4 linked regions of the Callithrix jacchus genome follow. The protein of the gene in region 2 purifies or fractionates together with the protein of the main gene of each other region. This does not show direct contact. Links are inferred from orthologs where the notes say so. Each region holds a gene or a part of one and is shown on either strand. Other genes may lie near its edges. The genes, in order: SNRNP70, SF3A3, SNRPA and SF3B6.

Region 1 (3,565 bases), on a different chromosome or scaffold from region 2:
CCGGGTTCAAGCAATTCTCGGGCCTCAGCCTCCCAAGCAGCTGGGACTATAGACGAGCGCCACCACGCTCAGCTAATTTTTTATATTTTTAGTAGAGACGGGGTTTCACTATGTTGGCCAGGATGGTCTTGATCTCTTGACCTCTTGATCCGCCCGCCTCGGCCTCCCAAAGTGCTGGGATTACAGGCGTGAGCCACCGCGCCCGGCTTGTTGCACAGGGTGGAGTACAATGGCAACAACCTCCACCTCCCAGGTTCGAGATTCTCCTGCCTCAGCCTCCCGAGTAACTGGGATTACAGGCACGCACCCCCACACCCGGCTAATTTTTATTTGTATATAGACAGAGTTTCACCAGGCTGGCCAGGCTGATCTCAAACTCCTGACCTCACAGTCCACCTGCCTCAGCCTCCCAAAGTACGGGATTATAGGCATGAGCCACCGCGCCCAGCAAAATATAGTCTAATCACATGGGCTCACCGTCACAGCTGTGGTCCCCTGCTGACTGAAATATCACTATGCTGCGTGAGTTTTCACTCTCACAATAAAGAGCCACTGGAGGTTGATAACTGAGCTTATCGGTTTGGTTAATGACGACAATACTCCTGTCCTGTACTCCCAATTCCTCTGATACGTGGAGGGGATGAACGTCCTCAGCCCAAAGGTCAGGGAGCTAAGGGTAGAGCTGGGACGGACCCACTAGCCCACAACTCACTGCCTCAGCCTGAGACCCAGCTGGGTTGTGGGAGCCCCTTATAACTGTCCTCCCCTGCAGGAAGAGCCCAAGGTACCAGGGGTCTCCCTTCCCACCAACTTTTACCCCATATTCTGCTGCTGAAAAGCCCAAACCAAAAACAGGGCTTGCCAAGTGGCAGGGACCAAATAAAAGAACAATCCTGCTCCCCCAAAAACAGGCCTTTGGGAGACAGCAGGATACTGAGTGACCTGGAAAGAACACAGCGGGGAGAACAGTGGATGAGAGACTTACACATTTTGAGCTCTGTCTCCACTTCCTGCTGTCGCCGCTCAATCTTCTCCCGTCTCTGTCATGAGAAAGGGGAGGTGGATAAGTAAACGCAGATAGAAGTACCCTGGTGTCAAGGACCATGTGGAGAAAACAGCGAAAGGTGGGGGTCTGGAAACAAAAATGACATACTTTCCTCTCCATGCGTTCCTCTCGGGTTTCTGCACGAGTTGGAGGAGGGGCATCTCGAGGGTCCTAGGAACAAGAAGAGAGGTGACAGGGTGGGAAGGACTAGGGGAAACGGAAAGGGACGCTCACCAAGGAAATAAGCATGTCACCCCTCCCACCCCCACTACAAAAACACACACACATGTACACTTCCCCAGTCACTGTGGAGGGAGAGGAGTGGCACAGATCAAAGCATGGTCTGCAGCCACACACAGTGGCTTCCACTTGTAATCTCATCACTTTGGGGGGGATGACACAGGAAGAATGCTTGAGCCCAGGGGTTTCAGACCAGCCTGGGAAACACAGTGAAACACCATCTCTACTAAAAATTTACAAATAAGCCAGGTGTGGGGGCACACGTCTATAGTCCCAGCTACTAGGGTGGCTAAGGAGGAGGATCTCTTGGGCACTGGAGAGCGAGGCGGCCATGAACAATGACTGTGACAGTGCACTCCAGCCTGGATGACAGAATAAGACCCTATCTTAGAAAAGAAGCACAGTCCATGGACCAGCACTATCCAAACCTGCTGGACTGTGAGAAGTACAGAAACCAGGAGTAAGTGCTAAGAAACTTCTACAGTAATTTCACAGTTTTACGCTCACTGACTAATACAAATTTGGTCTTTTATTCTGCAGGTCTTCTATTTTATTTTATTTATTTATTTTTTTTGAGACCGAGTTTCGCTCCTGTTACCCAGGCTGGAGTACAATGGCGCGATCTCGGCTCACCGCAACCTCCGCCTCCTGGGTTCAGGCAATTCTCCTGCCTCAGCCTCCTGAGTAGCTGGGATTACAGGCACACGCCACCATGCCCAGCTAATTTTTTGTATTTTTAGTAGAGATGGCGTTTCACCATGTTGACCAGAATGGTCTCAATCTCTCGACCTCGTGATCCACCCGCCTCGGCCTCCCAAAGTGCTGGGATTACAGCCTTGAGCCACCGCGCCCCGCCAGGTCTTCTATTTTTTGATGCAAAGTCTTGCTATGTGACCCAGGGTGGAGTACAATGGCGCGACCTCGGCTCACTGCAACCTCCACCTCCCAGGTTCAAGCGATTCTACGTCCTGCTTTCCCCTCTGTGCTGTCTCTACAAGGAACCCACTAGCAATCGTGTGTTTCTAAAAGGAACCCAGGAACTGACTAGAATCGTTCAAGTGATTCTCCTGCCTCAGCCTCCTGAGTACCTGGGATTACAGGTAAACGACACTATGCTGGCTAATTTTTGTACTTTTAGTAGAGAGGAGGTTTCACCATATTGGCCAGGTTGGTCTAGAACTTCTGACTGTAAGTCTTTCTTTAAAAAGTAATTCTAGGCCGGGCGCAGTGGCTCACGCCTATAATCCCAGCACTTTGGGAAGCCAAGGCAGGTCATGAGGTCAAGAGATGGAGAACATCCTGGTCAACAAGGTGAAACACCGTCTCTACTAAAAATACAAAAATTAGTTGGGCATGGTGGTGCACGCCTGTAGTCCCAGTTACTCGGGAGGCTGAGGCAGGAGAATTGCTTGAACCCAGGAGGCGGAGGTTGCGGTGAGCCGAGATCGTGCCATTGCACTCCAGCCTGGGTAACAAGAGCGAAACTCCGTCGCAAAAAAAAAAAAAAGTAATTCTATCCTATTTATCAAAAGCATCAATCTGCAACAGATTGGAAACTGCCCTTCACCAATGACAGTTTGAAAAGCACTGGCACAGGTGACACCTAGCTTAAAAATACAGTGCTGAAGGTCCCTGTCTTCCATATTCAGGAAACACGCTGCTTCTCACAGCTCCAAGCATCACTCACATTGAACAAAGTGCCAGAAGATGTGATGGGAGCGGAGTTACGGGAGGGCCCTGTTTATGAGAGTCAGTTAAGAGGACCAGGCCTGAAGCAACATGAGCTGACAGGACAGGACTCCGAAGCCCACACTGCACACCCTCTGAGTGCCAGGGCAGCACTTAAAGGTGTCACCAACCATGCATTAAATAGTAACTGGTTGCTGGACGTGGTGGCTCACGCCTGTAATCCCAGCAGTTTGGAAGGTCAAGGCTGGTGGATCACTGGAGGTCAGGGGTTCGAAACCAGCCTGGCCAACATGGCGAACCCCTATCTCTACTAACAATACAAAATTGGCCAGGCATGGTGGCACATGCCTGTAATCCCAGCTACTGGAAAGGCTGAGGCAGAACTGCTTGAACTGAAGGCTGCAGTGAGCTGAAATCACACCACTGCACTCCAGCCTGCGCAACAAAAGTGAAACTCAGTCTCATAAATAGTAACTGGCACATCATCATCAGAGGGCATCTACCACCTGCCTGTGCCCATTAAATTAAGTTAATTGGCTAGTAACATTTCTTAAGTGCTGGTTCATCCAGGGTGGCAAATCCCAATGAAGA
Region 2 (3,565 bases):
GGTACCCTGACCTCTATTTTGTGCCATACTAGTTTATTACCTATCCATTACTCTTTTGAACCTAGAGAAAAAAATATCTTCCATGAGTTCCTCGCCATTTAACTCCCATACTTTACACCAATTTTCCGCTTTCAGCAGTCACTTACCCCGAGAATCTCTACGTATTCATAGATTTGGGCTTCTAGAAAAGCAATGTCTTTGTTCCTCTCAGTGTCTCTGAGAAAAAGAAACAAGCCATTATCACTCAAGGATTCTCTCATCCATTGCTTTGCTCCCTATATCTGGGAACAGTTACTGCACACTGCATTAAAAATTATAAACACGAGAAATGACATCCTGTGAAAGCAAATGCTCTGTCATCTCGTGACTCTGACAGAAATATTTCTTAGAATGCATGGAGGCTTCCTCTATGACCTCATCTAGAAGGTGAAAGACATATCAAGAGCACTTAAATTTCCATCATTATAATCTACAAAAAAATGTGATATAGAAGAGCAAGTTCTGCAGTAGATAGACCTGGGCCCAAATCCTGACTCTGCTACTTACAACTATGAGAGAGTGGACACATACCATAACTTTTCTGGGTCCTTATCTGTAAAAACTCAGAATAACAATTACTTTTTAGGGTTGTTGTAAGAATTAGAAAAAAACATGCATTAAGAAAATGGGCCAGGCGCGGTGGCTCATGCTTGTAATCCCAGCACTTTGGGAAGCTGAGGCAGGAGGATCGCTTGAAGTCAGGCACTCATGACCAGCCTGGCCAACATGGTGAAACCCCGTCTCTACTAAAAATACAAAAATTGGGCGGGTGCAACGGCTCATGCCTGTAATCCCAGCACTTTGGAAGGCCAAGGCAGGTAGATTGCCTGAGGTCAGTTCAAAACCAGCCTGGCCAACATGGTGAAACCCTGTCTGTACTAAAAATACAAAAATTAGGTGGGCACAGTGGTTCACACCTGTAATCCCAGCACTTTGGAAGGCCAAGGCAGGTGGATTGCCTGAGGTCAGGAGTTCAAAACCAGCCTGGCCAACATGGTGAAACCCTGTCTCTACTAAAAATACAAAAAATTAGCCAGGCATGGTGGCAGGTGTCTATAATCCCAGCTACTCGGGAGGCTAAGGCAGGAGAATCACTTAAACCTGGGAGGCAGAGGTTGCAATAAGCCAAGACTGTGCTACTGCACTCCAGCCTGGGCAAAAGAGTGAGACTTCATCTCAAAAAAGAAAAAAAAAATCCCTCAGCTGGGTGCAGTGGCTCACACCTATAATCTCAGCACTTTGGGAGGCCAAGGTGGGTGAATCACTTAAGCTCAGGAGATGCAGACCAGCATGGCCAACATGACGAAACCCATCTCTACTAAAAATACAAAAATCAGCCAGGTGTGGTGGTGCACACCTGTAGTCCCAGCTACTCAGGAGGTTGAGCAAGTGAATCCCTTGAACCTGGGAGGTGAACTCCAGTTTGGGTGACAGAGCGAAACTGTGTGTCAAAAAAAAAGAAAAGACCCTGTATAAGTATGCAGCTCAAGAATTAGATTCAACTTTCATTACCAAAAATAAGCTTAGAAAAATATTTTTTGGCTGGGCGCAGTGGCTCACGTCTGTAATCCCAGCACTTTGGGAGGTCGAGGCCGGCAGATTGCGAGGTCAGGAGTTCAAGATCAGCCTGGCCAATATGGTGAAACCCCGTCTCTACTTAAAATACAAAAGAGCAGGCTGAATCTGTCAACCAATAATGGGAATAAAGCAGACTCTAATTTAAAATCTCCACTGTGGTTAAAAATTGTGCATGGGAATGACATTCAAAAGCCACAAAGAGAGGTGCTACCCCAGCCACTCACCGCTTGGTGCCCTTTGACTTGGGATTTTTGGCAAACAAAGAGGTATCAAGTGATTCCAGGGACTTTCCTTTGGTGCTGAATAGTCTCTGGGCTCGCTCTTCTAGGGTCCTAAGGAGACAGAACAGGCAAAGGATTTCAGGGTTACTTTATCACACAGGCTTGCTTATTTTTGCAGTTTGGAGCAACAGAAAAAAATACGTAATCAGAGCTACTTAGAAGACTGTGCAAACACACAGTAAATCAAACAGTTTTGATAGAAAAACCATTCCTTACCCGCCACATTTCAAGCCTAAAGCTAAGAGAGCAGATTTCAATCTGTCCAAACCCAGAGAGGCCAACTCCTGTACAAAGAGAAAAAGTACAATTGAGATTTTTGGGAAACAACAAATGCAGGCCAGTGGGTGGGTGTTCCTGAGGCTGTGGCAGGACCACACATTTCATAGCCGATCTGGCAGTAAGTCTAAACTCTCCAGAGGACTGAGCCTGTAGTCATCTTCAGACTTAAACATACTGGTATTAACTATTACTGTTACTACAGCTTAATGTAGTTAGAGCGATTATTTCAGTTTCCCAAGTAGTTATTTTTTTCTTTTTACCTTGCTACCTTCTTTGTAGATGCTTGATCCCAGGAAAGAGTGCCTTATCACAACACAACCACGGTATTAAAGACAGGAGAGCAAGTGGTCCCTCTGAAAGATAGACAGGGAGAACAGTACTACCGCTGAAGGAAACATACCTCCCAGGAGGAGAATGCGGAGAGGTCAAGATGGGCTCCAGCATGGGTCAGAGCACTGCTTGTCTCTTTCTGGAAAGAAGAACAACATGTTATTTATTAAGGTCCAGGTTTAGGCCGGGCGTGGTGGCTCACAACTGTAATCTCAACACTTTGAGAGGCCAAGGTGGGTGAACTGCTGGAGCTCAGAAGTTAAGAGATCAGCCACAGCAACATGGTGAAACCCCATCTCTACAAAAAAATACATGAATTAGCTGGGTATGGTGGCATGTGCCAACTACTCAGGAGTCTAAAGTGGGAGGATCTCTTGAGTCCAGGCAGTTGAGGCTGCAGCAGTGAGGTATGATTGTGCCACTGCACTCCAGCCTAGGAGCAAGATGGAAAACTTGCTTCCAAAAAACAAAAAAACAAAACAGGTTTAGGATGAAGGTAAAGTTGGTCCACATTCCCTGCCTGGGGAGTTCAGGAAAAACTCAGGTTTATCCCCACAAGCAAGAATACAGATTCCTAACATATGATTGAATAAGCTTTTGGTAAGCAGAAACCACATGGCAGTAATGATATGATTGGCGAAAATCTGGGCACAGTCCAAGGCAAGTGGGCCCTGATAATCTTGCTCCAAAGTACACACAGAAAAACCTAGCATACTCGGCAGGGAATACCTCATGGTCACAAATGATACCAAGGAATTGATACCTAATGCCCTAAAGTGGAAGCTCAAGATAAAGGAAAATAATCAGTTCAATTCCCTGGCATGTCCACCATTCACACCCCACTGTAGCTCACCGGCCATCCAGGAAAGGTCCCATTCTCCCATTTCTTCTCAAACTCAGCCTGAATCTTCCCAAAAAGTTCATTCTGATCTTGGAGAGGCTTCACTCTATCCGTGTAATCCTGAAGGTACTCAAGCAGCATCTCTAGGTATCTACAGAGGAACACGTAACAAAGAGAAAGCAAAAAGGGTTTATATTTTTGGTATCTTGTTATATTC
Region 3 (4,337 bases), on a different chromosome or scaffold from region 2:
GCCTGATACTGGTTGGGTAGCACACTCTAAAAGCATATGCAATATTTACATTCCTGATTTTGTCTTTTTTTTTTTTTTTTTTTTTTTTTTTTTGAGACAGTCTCACACTACCGTCCTGGCTGGAGCACAGTGGTGCGAACTCTGCTCACTAAGACCTCTACTTCCTTCCCGTGTTCTGGGAGGGAAAAAGTAAAAAATTGCAAAAAAAAAAAAACACCCAAAAACCTCCGCTTCCTGGGTTTCAAGTGATTCTTCTGCCTCAGCCTCCCGAGTAGCCGGGGCTACAGACATGCACCGCCACACCTGGCTAATTTTTGTATTTTTAGTAAAGACAGGGTTTCAGCATGTTAGCCAGGCTGGTCTCGAACTCCTGGCTTTAAGTGATCTACCCGCCTCTGCCTCCCAGTGTGTTGGGATTACAGGCGTGAGCCACTGCGCCTGGCTGTAGGCTATGCTTTCCTCAAGCGCAACTTCACTGGTAACCTCAAACTGAATCCCAGCAAGCTCCTTCGCTTCTCCCGACAATTTTCTTGAGGTGATAAGAGCTAACATTTATCCAGCCCTTCCTAGCTGCCAGGTACCATAAAACAGAAACACTTAGAGATTTAGCTAATTTAATTTCCCCCAACATCGATGCAAAGAAGGTATTATGACTTTGTTCAGTTTTCAGACACAGAAAATGAGGTTCAATAAAGGTGATAATTTACTTGAGAAAGCTGTAGAGTCTTGCCGATTTCAATAATCAAGTTCTTTTTTTACATAGGTTCTTGCTCTGCCCAGGCTGCAGTGCAATCATAGCTCACTGCAGCCTCAACCTCTGTAGCTCAAGCGATCCTCCCATCTCAGCCTCCTGAGCAGCTGGGACCACAGACGTGACCCACCCATGCCCAGGCTTTTTTTTTTTTTTTTTTGTAGAGACAAGATCTCGCTTTGTTGCCCAGGCTGATCTTGAACTCCTGTGTTTAAGTGATCCTTTCGGCCTGAGCCACCACGCCCTGCCAAAAACGGGAGTTAGATACCGGTGGCTATGTGACCCAGGCCAAGTCACATCACCCCAGTCTCAGCTTATTTGAGGAATGGGAATAACAAAAGCCTTCTTTCTTCCTACAGGCTTGTTTTGAGGATTAAATGTAACCAAGATTGGGAGCGGTGGCTCACGCCTGTAATCCCAGCACTTTGGGAGGCCGAGGCGGGCGGATCACAAGGTTAAGAGATCGAGACCATCTTGGTGAAATCCCATCTCTACTAAAAATACAAAAAATAGCCGGGCATGGTGGCACGTGCCTGTGGTCCCAGCTACTCAGAAGGCTGAGGTGGGAGAATCGCTTGAACCCAGGAGTCGGATGTTGCAGTGAGCCGAGATTGCGCCACTGCACTCCAGCCTGGGGATAGAGCAAGACTCCGTCTCAAAAAAAAAAAAAAAAAAAAAAAAAAAAAAAAAAAATAGCGCATAGACCAGCCCATGATACAGAGCGTTAGCCCCAGTACGGTACATTTTCACTGTGCACTGATCACTGAAAACGCCGGTGACCAAGAAGCCCCAGGCGTTGCCCTCATGGAGCTCAAAGGCCACTGGGAGGAGAGAGAGCCCCACGACAGCCCAGAGGAATCCGGGCTTGATGGAAGGAAGTCAGGGGCAGCCACGTGAAGGGACGCAGGATAGGGAAGGCTTCCTGGAGGAGGGGTCCTGTGTCCTGAAACCTTGTAAGATGAGCAACAGTGACCAGGTTAAAGGGCAGAGTGTAAGATGAACTAACGAGTGTTGAAGACAGAGGAAGTCGTTTGTGTAAAGGCCAAAGGGTTCACTGGAACAGTTTGCTTGGACGAACACTGAGAAAGAAAAGCAGGTGCAGGGGGTGGAAGGGAGACCAGCCCGTGCGGGACAGCCTGGAGTGCGGACTATCCCGAGAACTCACCATCCTTCTTGATCTTCTCATTGAGGTTGTTGATATAAATAGTGTGGTTAGGGCGGGTCTCGGGAACTGCCATGGAGTGAAGTGTCGAGGTAAGGCTTAAACGAGAAATAACGTGACTTTAGCCCTGGTTTTCTCCAAATCCTTTGTCCCAACGTTGGCTTAACGGGGGGCTCAAGGTTCTTCCTTCCGAGAGGAAGTCAGGTAAGGCGGGAGTGGGAAGGACGGAGGCACAGCGTGGGCAACAAAGCGTGCGTAGGACCCACTTCTCGAGCCCGCGTGCAGAGGGAACTCTCGAGAGATTTACTACGAGTTCCAGGATGCTCTACGCGACCCAGTGGGCGGAGCCCCCTAAATGGCGGTTCCCATTGGTCGACGCGTCCGAAGGGCAGTCCGGGAGAAAAAACCCGGATGTAAGAGCCAGTAAAGGAAGAAAGGATGGGTCTTGGGCAGCCTGGCCTCGAGAGGCAGAAGTTTCCTCAGACGGGCACAGGAAGGCCCGGACGCCAAGCGCACCGCCCGCCTTCCGCCGATGTTAGTCTGCGCCCGAGGTTACCTTCCGATGGGGCCGCAGTTTTCTCAACTGGCGCCTGCTACTTTTCTGAGACCAAACCACAAAGCTTTCTCTCCTGGCCCCGCCTCTACCTTTCTGTCAGCCAATCCCCATGCGGAAACTCAGTAGCTTGCCCAATCAGAGCAAGACTCGTTTCTAGGCTCAGTTCTTGCCAATCAAAACGATATTTGGGTTCCCGCTTAGGTAGAAAAACTCCGCCCCACTTTCGACAAGCCCACCTCCTTCCGTAGCTCCCGAGTCTACGGACCAATCAGTGAAGGTCACGATTGTTTTGCCAATCGGGACGCGTTTCGAACTGCGGTGTCTTCCGGAGGCAAGCCTGTTTGAAGCCCCGCCTCTTCCCCGCGTGAGATGCGTTTTCTGTCACGTGATCGCCAAATGGGCGGGCACTATTGAGGGTGATACCACATAATATGGGAAAGGCTGTGTGCGGGGGCCGCCATTTTGCGGGAGTGGGCGGCTCATTTTACTTCCTGACTCCTTTCCCTGTTCCACCGGTTATCGCGGCGCCCTCCAGCCTGTGATCTCTGAGTCTTCTCCAACCCACGGAGGTTTTTTATTGCTCTGACTCCAGGACCTTCTCCACAACTAGGCCACTTTCCCTGCCAGGTGTCCTTTTTGACCTCTTGCCTCTGACTCAAAAGGTCAGCTCAAAGGTTCCGAACTCGGGCCTGGGATGTGAGAGGGGACTGAGTCTAAGTTCTCCGAATCTTTAGCCCCGGGCCCCTAAGTCGCACCCTTCAGGCACCTCACTCTATGTCTGAGCCTTCATATCCCAGACTTACCCATGAGTTTCCACATTCGGCCCCAGAGAAGGAGTTAACTCCTACTAACTGTCCACCTAAGCCTCCCGAGGTAACAACCCGTCCCCGCCGTGTTAGCCGTCAGGTGCCTTAAGGCTGAGGTCAGCCTCGCAATTCCTGCTCCCACTGTTTCAAATGTTAGCCCTGGTCCTTTCACACCCACTGCTCTGCCCCCAGATTCTGGAATTCAGCTCTTAAACTTTTAAAATTTCCGTCCCTGAGGCCGTCCTCTTGGACGATCCCTCCCTCCCCACCTTCTGAACCCCTCAGCACCTCCTGGAGACCCCAAAATGACTTCACCAAGCTCTCCTCCCCTAAAATCACCAATCCCTCCTCCAAGAACCCCTGTACCCCAAGCCAGCAGCATTCCACCTCCTCCTCTACCCCCAAGTGCCCTGGACTTTTTAGCTTTTTCATCCCGTCCCTGGAGTCAGCAAACTCCTGTTCCCCCACCGCCCCCACTGCCTCCTCCACCCGCTGCCTCGGGGCCTGCTCGCCCTCATGTCTTCGGCCTGGAGAAGAGCCAGCTCCTGAAGGAGGCCTTGGAGAAGGCTGGCCCGGTCCCCAAGGGCAGAGAAGATGTGAAGAGGCTCCTGAAGCTGCACAAGGACCGGTAGGGTCTCCATACCCCACCCACCGCCCAGGCTCTGCCCCAGTTGCTTCTCCGCAGATCACTTCAGCCGCCTCCTCTTGTCTCCTCTTGGGGGGTTCTCGTGTCCTCAAGATCAAACAGCCTGACTATTTAGGACCCCCACGTAGACCCCTTGCGTGGTGGTGTGCCTCCAGCAGTGAAGAAGCTGTCCTCACAAGTGCCCCGTCCAGAACCGGGCGTGGTGGCTCAGGCCTGTAATCCCAGCTACTTTGGGAGGCCGCGGCCGGCAGACCTGAGGTCAGGAGTTGGAGATCAGCCTAACCAATATGGTGAAACCCCATCTCTACTAAAAATACAAAAATTAGCCTGGTGTGGTGGAGTGCAGCTGTAGTCCCAGCTACTAGGGAGGCTGAGGCAGAATTGCTTGAACACTGGAGGCGGAGGTTGCAGTGAGC
Region 4 (3,197 bases), on a different chromosome or scaffold from region 2:
AACACCACTATCCAAGCAGCTTGCTCTCAAACTTCTACCAATGTGACAACCATTATATACCCATAATAATTTTCAAAAAAATTTAGAGAGGCAAATCTAAGTTTCTAACAGTGTACTACCATCTAAATGACCATTTCTAGAATAGACCTCTGTTCTAAGACAAGGGTACCCATACTGACAAAGGTATTTTGTTAACTATAAAGCAAGCATCATTCAAATGTAAAGGCTTGGTTGCTATTACACCAGCTTTGTAGGTTAGCATTTTATTCATTCACCCAACATCATGAGCTTTGGTTTCCTCGCCTGCAAAATGCAAATACCTATCTTCACTGAGTTGTTATAAAGATCCATTATTAATAGACATTCAATAAACAGCAAGTTCCTTTGACGGCTAAGCACTGCACTGGACCCCGGAGGCATTAAGAATATAAAGAGGTCCTGTTTTCAAGAAACTCGGACTCCCTAGGAGCACCTACAATTCCTGATAAGCTTCAACTATTTTTTTCCTGGTATCAAACAGGGAGGGAAAGTTCAAAAGAAAAGACAGACGTGTTTCACAAAAAGCAACAGGTTTATTAATATCATGTATTCTGATATGTATCAAAGTTTCAAGGTCATTTTGAACCTAAAATAAGAAATCACAATATTTAGTATTAATTAAAAAGGAAAAAAAGGGAAAAGATGGTAGTTGTCATTCATGGTTTCAGTCCAAAATGAAAATGTAGAAAACATTTATTTTGGTGGATCTGTGTTGATGCCATACTTCTCCTTGAGAAGCTTCAACTGTTCCTCCTTCTTCTTTGTGTCCATCTTCTGAAATGCCTGGAAATGCAGTAAGCACCAAAGTTGAATTACCGATCTACAGCCAAATAAATTTCACCAATAGCATTAGCCAAAAAATAGTCACAGTAGACATATATCGTCACAGCACAGTTCTACACTAATTTTCAAATGAGATCACCATACAAGGAGAACTTGGCTATACTTACCCTGTTGGCATTATAGTACAAAACCACAAGGTATCTGTTACAAACATTGAATCCTGATAGGTGATCACATGCATTCTTGGCATCAAAGATGTCCTCATAGACCACATAAGCTGTTCCTCTAGTTTCAGGTGTGTTCCCCCTGGAGAGTTAAATCAAACTTAATTAAGATATACGTTTACCTGAGCATTGAGTTGAATAACAGAACTGTCTTTTAAACTGGTAACTGTCTTCTAAAGACAGTAAACTGAAATATGTTTTTAATTTAAATATTTTGAAACCAACCTGAAACCATAAGAGGAAATAAACACGCATAGATAACTAGATAAGCCTGTAATTTCTTGAATTCGGTAATTTTGTTTTTTGTTTTTATCTTAAGTAAAACATCTATAGGTCAAGCTTACTGCTATATCAGGAATACTAGGAACACAGCTACTACCCAGAACTCAGCTTCTTACCACCCTGTCTGGCACTACATTGCTTTTTTTTTGAGATGGAACCTCACTCTTGCCTAGGTTGGAGTGCAGTGGCATGATCCCAGCTCACTGCAACCTCTGCCTCTCAAGTTCAAGTGATTCTCATGCCTCCCAAGTAATTGGGACTCCAGGCATGTGCCACCATGTCCAGCTAATTTTTGTACTTTTAGTAGAGATAGGGTTTTGCCCTGTTCCCGGGCTGGTCTCGAACTCCTGACCTCAAGTGATTGAGCTGCCTCAGCCTCCCAAGGTGTTGAGATTACAGGCATGAGTCACCAAACCTGGTCTACATTCATTTTTAATACAACTCAATGCCTTTTTAATACAAACTCTAATGCATGATACAGCTGTATGGCTGGGGAGAAGGGCTAGGCTTCTGCAAAGATGGGAGTGGAAGTGTGCTTATAGATAGGGTTATCTGTGAGCAAGGGCAGAATGCTGGAAGGTGACTGGAAGTGGAAACTAGACCTTACTCATAGATATGGGGCTGCTGTTAGTGTAGGTATTCCTGGCCACTTCCTTCCTTCACTTCATCAGCTTCCTCTGAGAGAGGTAGAGAAGTGTGAGGAGCAACAGAACACTAAATTGTAGGCAGCAGCTGGCCATGTGATTGTCAGTGGGGACAATGGGTAGAGTTCCCACTCAGTTCATGCTCTGGATGACAAGATGGCCCCCTTGCCTCCATCTGTGTTCTGACCACCCAGTGCAACCGTGGAATGAGGTTTAAGATTGTTGGCTTTCCATCTGCCACAGTCCCTACATAGGGTTGAATAAAAGCAGTGGAGCCATGGGAAGTGGAGGCACATGCCTAGACTTGATCTAGGACAAGATTATAGTCCGGGCCCTGCTCAAGCTTCTGCTTCCTATAACATTGAAAAGGTGCAGGGTGCTGGGGGTGATTGGAGGGTGCCAGTGTCAATGAGTATGCTCACTTTGTCAGGTTACGTGGGCCTGATCTCGGGTTTTAGAATGTTCTTTAGGATCTGGGAAGTCTTAACAACTTTCAGACTTTTGACTTTTAAAAACTTAACAAGATTTTCAGTTCTTTAAGAGCAAAGGTGATCTTATGCCTACTTCATTTACTCCTATAGTGCCACACATAAGGCAGATGCTAATATGCCTTTGAAAGGTGGAGATCTACTTCCTATCAATTCTCTCACACATACTTTCTCCAGGAAGCTCAAAACAAAGCAACTCTCTTTCTTCCTCTTACATCTTCTTAGGAACCAGCATAGGGATAGATACTAACCCCACTTTAAAGACCCTCCATCTCAAGTGTCCCAGTCTTAATTATCAGCCTCACATCTTGAGAGCTGTATTATAATCTGAACATATATATATATATATATATATATATATATATATATATATATATATATATATATATTTTGAGATGGAGTCTTGCTCTGTCGCCCAGGCTGGAGTGTAAAGGCGCTATCTCGGCTCACTGCAACCTCCACCTCTTGGGTTCAAGTGATTCTCCTGCCTCAGCCTCCTGAGTAGCTGGGATTACAGGCACCCGCCACCATGCCTGGCTAATTTGTTTTATCTTTAGTAGAGACAGGGTTTCACCATGTTGGCCAGGCTGGTCTCAAACTCCTGACCTCATGATCTGCCTGCCTCGGCTTCCCAACATGCTGGGATTACAGGCATGAGCCACCGTGCCTGGCCAATTGGAACTTTTAAAAGCATGTATTTGTACCATGTATAGGGCACTGAGCTAACATTATTTTCT

What was found.
Region 1: the proteins of SF3A3 (region 2) and SNRNP70 fractionate together in Homo sapiens (co-fractionation; 3 studies listed by BioGRID). This does not show direct contact. The link is inferred for Callithrix jacchus from reciprocal best matches to the Homo sapiens genes SF3A3 and SNRNP70.
Region 3: the proteins of SF3A3 (region 2) and SNRPA fractionate together in Homo sapiens (co-fractionation; 4 studies listed by BioGRID and IntAct, with this or other methods). This does not show direct contact. The link is inferred for Callithrix jacchus from reciprocal best matches to the Homo sapiens genes SF3A3 and SNRPA.
Region 4: the proteins of SF3A3 (region 2) and SF3B6 purify together in Homo sapiens (affinity purification with mass spectrometry; 3 studies listed by BioGRID and IntAct, with this or other methods). This does not show direct contact. The link is inferred for Callithrix jacchus from reciprocal best matches to the Homo sapiens genes SF3A3 and SF3B6.

What each region holds. Positions count from the first base shown.
Region 1 is NC_133523.1:42,904,087-42,907,651, reverse strand, and holds part of SNRNP70 (U1 small nuclear ribonucleoprotein 70 kDa), read right to left. Parts: intron 1,217-3,565; coding exon 1,154-1,216; intron 1,041-1,153; coding exon 986-1,040; intron 1-985. UniProt on the Homo sapiens protein: Component of the spliceosomal U1 snRNP, which is essential for recognition of the pre-mRNA 5' splice-site and the subsequent assembly of the spliceosome. SNRNP70 binds to the loop I region of U1-snRNA.
Region 2 is NC_133508.1:74,552,673-74,556,237, forward strand, and holds part of SF3A3 (splicing factor 3A subunit 3), read right to left. Parts: intron 3,500-3,565; coding exon 3,361-3,499; intron 2,647-3,360; coding exon 2,578-2,646; intron 2,183-2,577; coding exon 2,115-2,182; intron 1,950-2,114; coding exon 1,842-1,949; intron 217-1,841; coding exon 147-216; intron 1-146. UniProt on the Homo sapiens protein: Component of the 17S U2 SnRNP complex of the spliceosome, a large ribonucleoprotein complex that removes introns from transcribed pre-mRNAs.
Region 3 is NC_133523.1:36,292,137-36,296,473, reverse strand, and holds the start of SNRPA (U1 small nuclear ribonucleoprotein A), read right to left. Parts: upstream 2,821-4,337; 5' UTR 2,706-2,820; intron 2,541-2,705; exon of another isoform or gene 2,470-2,540; intron 2,210-2,469; exon of another isoform or gene 2,012-2,209; 5' UTR 1,990-2,011; coding exon 1,917-1,989; intron 1-1,916. Other genes in the region: ACTMAP (actin maturation protease), read left to right, coding at 3,581-3,903. UniProt on the Homo sapiens protein: Component of the spliceosomal U1 snRNP, which is essential for recognition of the pre-mRNA 5' splice-site and the subsequent assembly of the spliceosome. U1 snRNP is the first snRNP to interact with pre-mRNA.
Region 4 is NC_133515.1:91,183,855-91,187,051, reverse strand, and holds the end of SF3B6 (splicing factor 3B subunit 6), read right to left. Parts: intron 1,129-3,197; coding exon 990-1,128; intron 823-989; coding exon 733-822; 3' UTR 553-732; downstream 1-552.